Callithrix jacchus: one gene and its partner. The protein of the gene in region 2 interacts with the protein of the main gene of each other region in a biochemical or structural test. Links are inferred from orthologs where the notes say so. Each region holds a gene or a part of one and is shown on either strand. Other genes may lie near its edges. The genes, in order: HDAC9 and PKD1.

Region 1 (4,514 bases), on a different chromosome or scaffold from region 2:
AAACCTCATCTCTAAAAAAATTAGTCCCAGCTACTACTTGGGAGGCTAGAGGATCACTTGAGCCCAGGTCAAGGCTGGAGTGAGACCTGATGGTGCAGCTGCATTCCAGCCCGGATGACAGAGCATGACCCTGTCAAAAACAAAACAAACAAAAAACCCACAAAAACCAAAAACAAAACAAAACTGCAAAAACTTAAAGGTGTACACTTGACCATTTCTTAACTCAATTTTGAAAGGTAAAGGGTGAAAGCTTACTAGGTAGTTGTATCTGGCATATACACAAATCAGAAATATCTCTAAGATACTTAAGGCAATACCATCAATTTCATCCATGAAATCAGAATCCATTACTAAGATTCATCATGCTAATGAACAGAAACCTCAGATGGGACAGTTAAGTAGAAGCTCTAGCACCAACAGTCTTTGGAGTATGGCCTTTTTATTATTTATTGTTTTTTTTTTTTTTAAATTTTTATTTAAAGCTAGCTGACCACTCCTGCAGTATGAATTCTTAATCAGAGCAAAGTGAGAGATAAATCTAGCCATCACACACTTTTGTCTTCCTGAGAATGCAGACAAGATAGCACTCCTTTTCTCGAGTTACCTTGCTATTATGAAATTGGTGGTCTAATTCCTGAGGTTTCTGTTTGTTTGTTTGTTTGAAATGGGGGTTTCACTTTGCTGCCCAGGATGGTCTCGAACTCCTGGGCTCAAGCAATCGTCCAGCCTTGGCTTCCCAAAGTACTGGGGTTATAGGCTTGAACTACTGAGCCTAGCCCCTAATTCTAATTTTAATCCGAACTCTGCCACTGTGAGACCTTGGGCAAATCACACTACTCCCATGGATCCCAGTTCTCTCCTCTGAAAATGAGGGCACTGGGTTAGTTCTCTCTTGCTCTTTCCATCCATATAATTAATCTATGAGCTGTTTTAGCTGACGTAGAGAAAAACCATAAATATAAAAGCAGAGACAGTAGCTTTAATTCGTTTGACGGTCAAATTACAGACACCATAAATATTAGCCTCTTCGAGTGATCAAGCGCGTTAGCCAAGTATGTTTAGGATTACACTTAAAAATATTTTGGTGTTGTATGCTTTATAAAGGAATCTGCAGCTACTAGTGATACTAGTCAGGATTTAAGTTACAACAGAAAAAAAAAATCCCCAAGGGAAAAATACCAACCACAGAACGTGATCAAAATTCTCAGACCTACTAACTCTGCTTGCCTTCTATCCGGGTTGGTTTCAGAGCGAATGCTCCTCTCTGTTTAGCCTTAAAACGCGGCAAACCTAAGTCATGTTTCCATCAGCAGTCACCATATTCCCACACGTTTCCCAGTTGAAAAGCCCCAAATGTAGCATTTTTTCTCTTAAAATTCCCTTGAATGATTCTTTAAGCTCCAGGCATCTGTGAGGACGTTCCAGGTGCCGCCCCGCAACGCTCCCTAATCCTCTTAAAAAGAAGTCGCTCAGCTGGGGCGGGCAGGCGCTGCATGGCGCGCACCTGAGCGGCCGGGACTTCCTGATGAAAGAGGGGCGCGGGAGGGCGAGGCGGCGGCCTGGCTTCTCCTCAGCACCGTCTTCTGTCACGGCTGCCGCCTGGCCATCACCCCGCGCCTTGTGTGGGCATGTCTCGCTTCAGAAAGAAGTCGTCTTAGGCTCCCTGGGCCTTCCCCTGGATAAAAAAACCGCTGTCGCAGCCCCGAGCTCACCTCCGCTCCACTCTGGGCCGCCCTTGCTGCCCTCCTGCCTCCCGTGCGTCGGCTGCGCGCCCAGGTGTTCCCGCGCCCCTCATCCCCTCAGGCCCGCGCCTCCCCGCCCTGTGAGTATCTAGCGCCTGCGGCCGCGCTCTCGCAGCGGATCCTTCTTCCTTTCCCCACCCAGACCCGCCCAGCCTCCGCCGCGCTGGGGCTCCCGGCCGAGCCTCTCCTCCCACCTCCGTCCTCCACTTCCCTCCCTAAGAAGTGCTATTTTTAGCAAATCCTCCGCGCGCCGCCACCCGCTCAGCTCGCAGCTCCCAGCCGCCCGCTGCCGCCCTCCCGAGCTCCCCCCGCGTGGCGGCGGCGGCGGCGGCGGCGCGTCCCGCACACAGCGCAGCGCGCACTGAGCCGGCCCAGCCGCGCCCGCCGCTCTCGCCGCGGTCTCCTCCTCTAGAGCCCGCTGCGGCCGCTAAATCTCGGCTGGAGGAGCAGCGGTGGTCCCCGAGTCAACTTTCATCCCCCTTTTGGTTCCTGCCTCGCCATTCTCTTCTGCTCCTCGAAAGATGGCTGTTTGGAGAAGGGGGAGAAGTTAGGAGGTCGCCGGCGGGGAGCGAAGGAGGGCGCGACTGCCTCAGCAGGAACGGGCGGAGGTGAGTGGCACCACGGCAGAGTCCCCGGCTAGTGCTTGAGGAAAGCTCTGGGATTGGGGGCCACCGGTCCTCAGGATGCGCCGCGGTATTCCCTGCTCAGGTTCCCCAGGTTAACAGCATCTCAGTCCGGACTCGGATGCCACTTGCCTTGTATCTCTCAGCCCAGAGACCGGTGCGTTTAAGGGAACCTTTGTCAGAAGTTGGGTGCTAGGTGATCTCTGTGGTGCAGACCTCGACATTTGTCTAGGCAAACTGAGGCGAGGGGTCGGTGGCGTGATTCTCTCCCGCCCTCAAACACACCCAGTTTATGTTGGAGCCGAGCTATGAATGAAAAGTTTGTACTGGCAACGTGTTGCTTGAGGGGAGCAACGCTTATTGGGGGTACCTTTGATGTTTCGTGGGGGACTTCAGTTTTAAGTCAATACATCAGAATACTGGGTTTTAAGAAAAGTTCAGGAGTCTGGGGGATGGGAGATAAAGCAGTTCCTTGGCTAGTGGAAGCAGAGTGATGAATCGTAAGCTTATTAAGGTAAACTGGTAAATTAGATGCCATACGAGGGTGTCATAGTGGGGACTAGAGAGATCGGAGGACGGGGGCGTTCCCTGAGCGCCTAGCAGGCTGCATTTGTTTGGCTTTGAAGCCGTCACCCACTTGTCCGCAGTGAGAGGTGCTGGTGTCAGGCCTGTGTGTCTGTGATGTGACAGAGAGGGACTGAGCTCTCTCCATATCCGAGGCACAGTTGTCAGGAAAGGTGGCCTGCGACGGAGAGCTGAGGATGCAGTTCCTGTGATTTGGACTAGGAGAATTCTCTAGTGAGTCTCCTATGCTCTAATTTCAGGAAGATCTACCAATTGTTTTTTCTTCCAGGGAGGTGTGTGTAATCTGCTAAAAGGAACTTTCAGCTTTAAGATTAACTATGGCATTTTGAAATCCTGTAAGAAATGAGATAGCTACATATATTCATTATTACCTATACGTGGTGTGTGTGTGTGTGTGTGTGTGTGTGTAAAATATGGGAAAGGAGTAAGAAAGGCTTAAAAAGTAACTTCTACAAGAAAAGAAAGCAAAGAGTTAATTTTTTTCTCCGCAAATGGTATAACAATGCATATACAACTAAATACTCTTGCTGTGCTGAGATTTCGCATAAGGAGTAAGATTTAGGAATTACAAGCATTCAGGGCACTGTCATGTTTTCAAATCTCGCAGGCATTATTGAAATCTGGAAAAAGGGAGTACGTACATACAGAACCCATATTAAATGAAAAAAAATTTTAAATCTTCCAAAAGAAAACCTTTTGACATTTGAAAAGGCCTGGATGTTTTTTTCTGATGGCCCAGAAATCTTTGTAATCCTGTAATTAACAAAGCACAGAGTAATTTGCATTTAATAAATTAGAAATCATATTTACAGGATATCTTTTGAACTTCTCTTTGGTACTTTTGATATTTATTATGAAAATTATTGTGACTGAAAATTTGTTGTTTAATCTATTTGCCTTTTACCACAGATAATTAGTCCTCCTTATCCTTTTAAACCACTGTTCCAGTTTGGACAAATTTAATTCTCCAAGCATCAAATTACTACTGTTCCTTCTGGAAACCATTTATATTTCGAATGGCTAATAAGAATATTTTATTTCTGAAACAACATAATTTAGTCAGTTGTAAAACTTGCTTGTAATTCTCATCCATTTTGTTTGAATGGGGCACATTTGAAGAAGAGCAGCATTTTCTTCGAATATGCCATTTTCTGTGTGGGAAAAAGCTAGTGTTTTCATATATATTTTAGCTATTAAACAGATGCATGTAAGGTGGGAATCCTGTCTGACCTTTGATAAACCGCCAGCCAGAGGGAGAGAGATGCTTTCCTAGCTCTGCTCATGAATTGATAATCTTTACTACAGAAGGGACATGGTTAGATGCACATAAGATTGTGCAGAAGGAAGTTAAGAGTTTTAAATTAAATACCAGTCAATGGGTAGGAAACAGATTTTTTATTTTTTAATCTCGACGTTACTGTTTCTTTTCTTCTGCAGTTCAGCCTGTTGGGCTGGCCTTTATTGGAGAGTCATACCAGCACTCTGACAAGAGAATGTTAGCACACTAAACTGCCATCTTCTGTAAAAATGATGGCTCTTTTGCAATTAAAAGGTAATTTTATAC
Region 2 (4,503 bases):
TTCCTCAGCAAGTGAGAGGCCCCCCACTCCGAGAGCTGGGTGGGATCCAGCAGGCCCCTGCTGACTCCAGACTCAACCCGAGATGACCACTCTGGCCTGGCTCAAGGCAAGGATGCCTTGACAGCTGGACCTCAGCGGGGACTAGGAAAGGATGCCCTAGCCTCCCTCTCTCCTGCTTCCCCAGTAAACTCCAAAGTCTGGTCCACACACAGAAGGCTGTTTACCAGACCTAGATCCGAAGTGCCTCTCCAGCGCTTCTTCCTCCACGACACTTGCCAGGCACCCTATAGAACCTGGTCTGGCCCCGTCGACTTCACCTCTCCACTTGCCGGTGCTTGCTGGGACACGCCAGGCCCCTTCTCACCCTAGGCCTTTGTACATCTGGCTCCTTCTGCCTGGAATGCTCATCTTGCAACATCCCGGGACTGGCTGCTTCTCCATCAGGCTTTGGCTAACGGCAGCGCCGCCCCGACCCCTGGCCAGTACTCACTTTTTCTTTTACAGCATATACCGCCGCTCCCCATGATTCTATCTGTTGTCAATCCCTCCACCCTGTCTGTCTAGACCAGGGACAGGGGGTGTTGGCCCGCAGGAGACATTTGCCAATGCCTGGAGACTTTTGTTATCGCAACTGAGGAAGTGGGGGTGTTTACTGGTATCTAGCGGGCAGGGGCTAGGCAGGCTGCTCCACATCCTACAATGTTCAGGGCAGCCCCTCGCAGCAAAGAGAGACCCGGGCCGCGTGGTCGATGGTGCGGAGGTTGGGGACCCCTGCAGCAGACACCGAGCTCAGGAGAACTGGGACGATGTTCTCCGCAGTCTTCCAGCGCCCAGAACAGTGTATGGCACGCGGGCGGCTCGGGGAATGCAGGAAGAAGGAATGAGTAAAGAACGCGCGAGGACAGGACGGAGCGAGCGACGGACAAATGACAGGCGGACGGACAGCGACCCGGACCCGGACCCCGAACGTCTCAGCCCCGCCCCGCCCCCCCGGCCCGACCCACGACCTCGCCTCTCCTAGACTTCGACGCGCCAGATTCCGCCCCACCGCGCGGCCCCGGGCCGGGCGCGTCGCGGGGACACTCACCCGCCCGCGGCCACCTGGGAGCCGTAGCGCCGCCGGCCCGCTTCATGATGCCCCCTCGGCCGCCGGCCGGGAAAGGGACAAGCGAGCCGGAAGCGCCCGGCCGCTTCGCCCGCCGGGACTTGTAGTTCCCCGCCTCTCGGGGCTCGGGCAGCTGCCTCACGCGCGGCATTTCCGAAACTACGACTTCCGGCGGCCCCGTCGTCGCAGGGCGGGATTGGCGGCTTCAGAATCACTCTATGTTGCAGATCGAAGTCTCATTGGCTCTACTTATCCGTCACTCACGGTTAGGCTTCACGGATTCTGCATAAGGGAGGTGCTTCAGGTCTGGGTCCAAGAGACCGCCTCCAAAAGAAATGCCAAGGTACGATTGGTGAAAATAACACGGTTAGGACGTGGAGCGTATCAGCGGCAATAAAAGGCGGGCACTTCCGCCGGGAATTGCCCAATGACAGAGGTAGGACAGTTTCTATAAAAGCTTCAGCCTGCGGTGCGTCCGTTCTTTTGGGGTAGACCGCGAGGCGTTGTGTTAATGTTAGATTGTGCCATGTGCTACTAACCGGGGAAGAACTGGGCTACGAACGTATCTTTGCGGGAGGGCCGAACGCTGCAGGCCGGCCCGGTCCCCGGGCATCCAGCCCTGGCCTACGCTCCACTTTGTCCCTGAGCGTTTAAACCTTACTTCCTGAATCTCAGACCTACAGCTCCTTGCAGGTAAGACTGGGCTAGGCTTGGGTTCCCCTGTTCTCCGAGCCTGTGATGAACTGCTTTGATTTCTGACACCTCGTATGAAAACTGCATGTGCAGCCTGATTATTTTGCAAGACTGAGGCTTGGGAGTGCGCAATCCTGTTGGGGAGGGGCTGGGAGTGGAAACGGGAAAGTGGGGACTCATGTCTACATTTTGGCGCTGTCTTACTTTCAGGTTTCATCGTGAGCCGGCTGCAAATTTTGAACCTAAGTAAACCTCAGTCTGGAGGGCCTAGTGGTAAGGTGGGCGCTGTGTCTATTCGAGGTGCTTAGCAATAAAACAAAGGCAGTGAGTTGATTCGGTTCTCTCCAACGTCTTTCATTCCCTATTGCACCCCGGGGGTCTGGCTCATCCACAGGCAATCTTGGGAAAGTGTAGAGACGTGAAAACGGGAGTCATGTTACCAGTGACTTCACAACTCTTGGGATTGACTTCTCCGTTTCTGCCTGTTATTATTTTTTTTGAGAGGAGTTCCGCTCTTGTTGCCCAGGCTGGAGTGCGGTGGTGCGACCTCCGCCTCCCAGGTTCAGGTGATTTCTCCTGCCTCAGCCTCCCAAGTAATTGGGATTACAGACATCACAACCGGTTAATTTTGTGTTTTTCATAGAGACTGGGTTTCTCCGTGTTAGGCTGGTCTCAATTTCCCGACCTCAGGTGATCCACCCACCTCAGCCTCCCAAAGTGCTGGGATTGCAGAACAGGTGAGACAGACACTCCAGAAAACACAACTTTATTCACTAGGACTGAAAACAAAGGCTTGCAGTTAAAAGGCCAACTTTAGTGTAAGGTGGAGCTTGCTTGGAAATCACAGACCTCAGCTGTGGCCAGGCCGTGCTAGCAGTTACCCTTTTCTGGCGTTTATGTGATTTCCCACATTTTATCACAAGGCATCCTCCGAGGTCACTGAGGAAGACCCGGCTGCTCTTTGAGCCAGAGCCTCCTAGAGTGTGGGCTGGGAGCAGTTCCCAGGACATACAGATGTGATTAGCAGTGAAGCCCTCTGTCCCAGGCGTGGGCATGCCACGTCCTCCCTTACCAGCCTGAGCAGCGTTCGGGTGAGCACATGGCTTTTTTTCTAGGGGGTTAGGCACTGTGCCTCACCCGGGCATGCCCAGGAGGGGGCAGCAGAGCACCATGGCAAGGTCTATCCACTTGGCGCACACCCTCTGTTACAGAAGACCGCTTTTCCATGGTGGCTAGTGCCCGGGCCATGGGCTCTCAGAAGCCCACTTGTTGGGACTGCTTGCTGCTGGGAGGAGGAAGGGGCAAGGCTTGACCTGGGGCTCCTGGAAACACACTCTGGCATTGGCCACAGGGCAACAAAGTCAGAAGGGCCTGGAGACCCTCTGCAGCTTTCTGGAGGCTGGGCGGCTTCCTCCAGAGGACTGAGCTCAGCCAGGTTCAGGGGTGGCAGCAGGAAGCCCTGCGACCTTTCCTGTTAACATAATCGTGCAGCCGGAAGCGTGGCTCGCTGGGAGCCTTCATGGAGCGCTGCTTCAACTCCCTGCAGAACGGGGGTGACAAGAGGACACGATGGCCTGAACTCCAATAAGAGGGTTCAGGCCCTGGGCTGGGGGAGTCCTGGTAACTACCGGGACTTACTTTGCTATGGCTGTGAAGGCCAGGTCCACGTTGAGGCCCGTCTTGGCGCTGGTCTCCATGAAGGGCAGCCCATACTCCTGTAAACAGCTGTTGCCAGCCAGGTGGTGGCCTGGCGGGGACAGCCTAGGCTCCGCAGCCTCCAGGAGCACCCTCTTACCACCCCCAGCCCTGACTCACCTTGGCCAGCTTCTCCCCGTCCTCCCTCTTCACCACACGCTCATGGGCAGAGTCGACCTGGCCCAGGCACAGGGTCTTTGTAACAGCTGGCCCATGGTTGGCCCCTGCCCCCTCACCTGCCCTGCGGCCCAGTCGAGGATGGCCCGGCCTCCCACCTTGTTGCCCAGCAGCATGAGTGCCACGTCGTGCTGGGCGTACTCGTGGATCTCGGTCAGCCAGGCCTGTGGGGGGCAGCAGACCGGGCTGGGGCTCCCTGCATGGCTCGCCTCCTGCCCCAGAACCCTGGCCCTCCAGACTATACTGTAGAGGGCACCTGTCTTCATTTTATCTTTTTTTTTGAAACAGTTTTTGTCGTCGAGGCTGGAGTGCCCTGGCGCAATCTCGGCTCACCGTAACCTCTGCCTCCCAGGAACAAGGGATTCTCCTGCGTCAGCCTCCTGAGTGGCTGGGATTACAGGTGCACAGCACCACACTCAGCTGATTTTTGTATTTTTAATAGACATGGGGTTGGCCAGGCTGGTCTCGAACTCCTGACCTCAGGTGAGCCACCATACCTGTCCAGAATACCTGTCTTTAGAAGTGATAACCCCTATATACTACATAGGGGCGCCCATCTTACAGGTCCCTTACACACAGCCCCACTGAGGGAGCTGGAAAGGCACTCAGATCCACTTGAGCCACTTCCAGCCCAGAAGACTTGTCATTCCCCCTCTGAGCCTCTCAGCAGGGTCCTTTGGATCCCTGATACCATCCACACCAGAAGGAGGTGAAGGTCGGGCCAGGCCCTTTTGGAGCCCTTTGACCACACCAGGAAGGCCACTGACCTGGATGTTGTCGAAGGAGGCCTTGTTGGTGACATCGTAGAGCAGCAGCAGAGCTGGGGACAGGGC

Evidence for each region.
Region 1: the proteins of PKD1 (region 2) and HDAC9 form a complex in vitro, tested with the Homo sapiens proteins (2 studies listed by BioGRID, with this or other methods). The link is inferred for Callithrix jacchus from reciprocal best matches to the Homo sapiens genes PKD1 and HDAC9.

The regions. Positions count from the first base shown.
Region 1 is NC_133512.1:40,375,064-40,379,577, reverse strand, and holds the start of HDAC9 (histone deacetylase 9), read left to right. Parts: upstream 1-1,484; 5' UTR 1,485-1,525; coding exon 1,526-1,822; intron 1,823-2,086; exon of another isoform or gene 2,087-2,350; intron 2,351-3,000; exon of another isoform or gene 3,001-3,163; intron 3,164-4,387; exon of another isoform or gene 4,388-4,502; intron 4,503-4,514. UniProt on the Homo sapiens protein: Responsible for the deacetylation of lysine residues on the N-terminal part of the core histones (H2A, H2B, H3 and H4).
Region 2 is NC_133513.1:4,605,199-4,609,701, forward strand, and holds the start of PKD1 (polycystin-1), read left to right. Parts: upstream 1-1,585; 5' UTR 1,586-1,798; intron 1,799-1,835; exon of another isoform or gene 1,836-1,918; intron 1,919-2,008; 5' UTR 2,009-2,071; intron 2,072-2,441; exon of another isoform or gene 2,442-2,535; intron 2,536-2,548; exon of another isoform or gene 2,549-3,235; coding exon of another isoform or gene 3,236-3,338; intron 3,339-3,436; coding exon of another isoform or gene 3,437-3,513; intron 3,514-3,613; coding exon of another isoform or gene 3,614-3,670; intron 3,671-3,768; coding exon of another isoform or gene 3,769-3,834; intron 3,835-4,437; coding exon of another isoform or gene 4,438-4,490; intron 4,491-4,503. Other genes in the region: RAB26 (ras-related protein Rab-26), read right to left, coding at 3,236-3,338, 3,437-3,513, 3,614-3,670, 3,769-3,834, 4,438-4,490. UniProt on the Homo sapiens protein: Component of a heteromeric calcium-permeable ion channel formed by PKD1 and PKD2 that is activated by interaction between PKD1 and a Wnt family member, such as WNT3A and WNT9B. Both PKD1 and PKD2 are required for channel activity.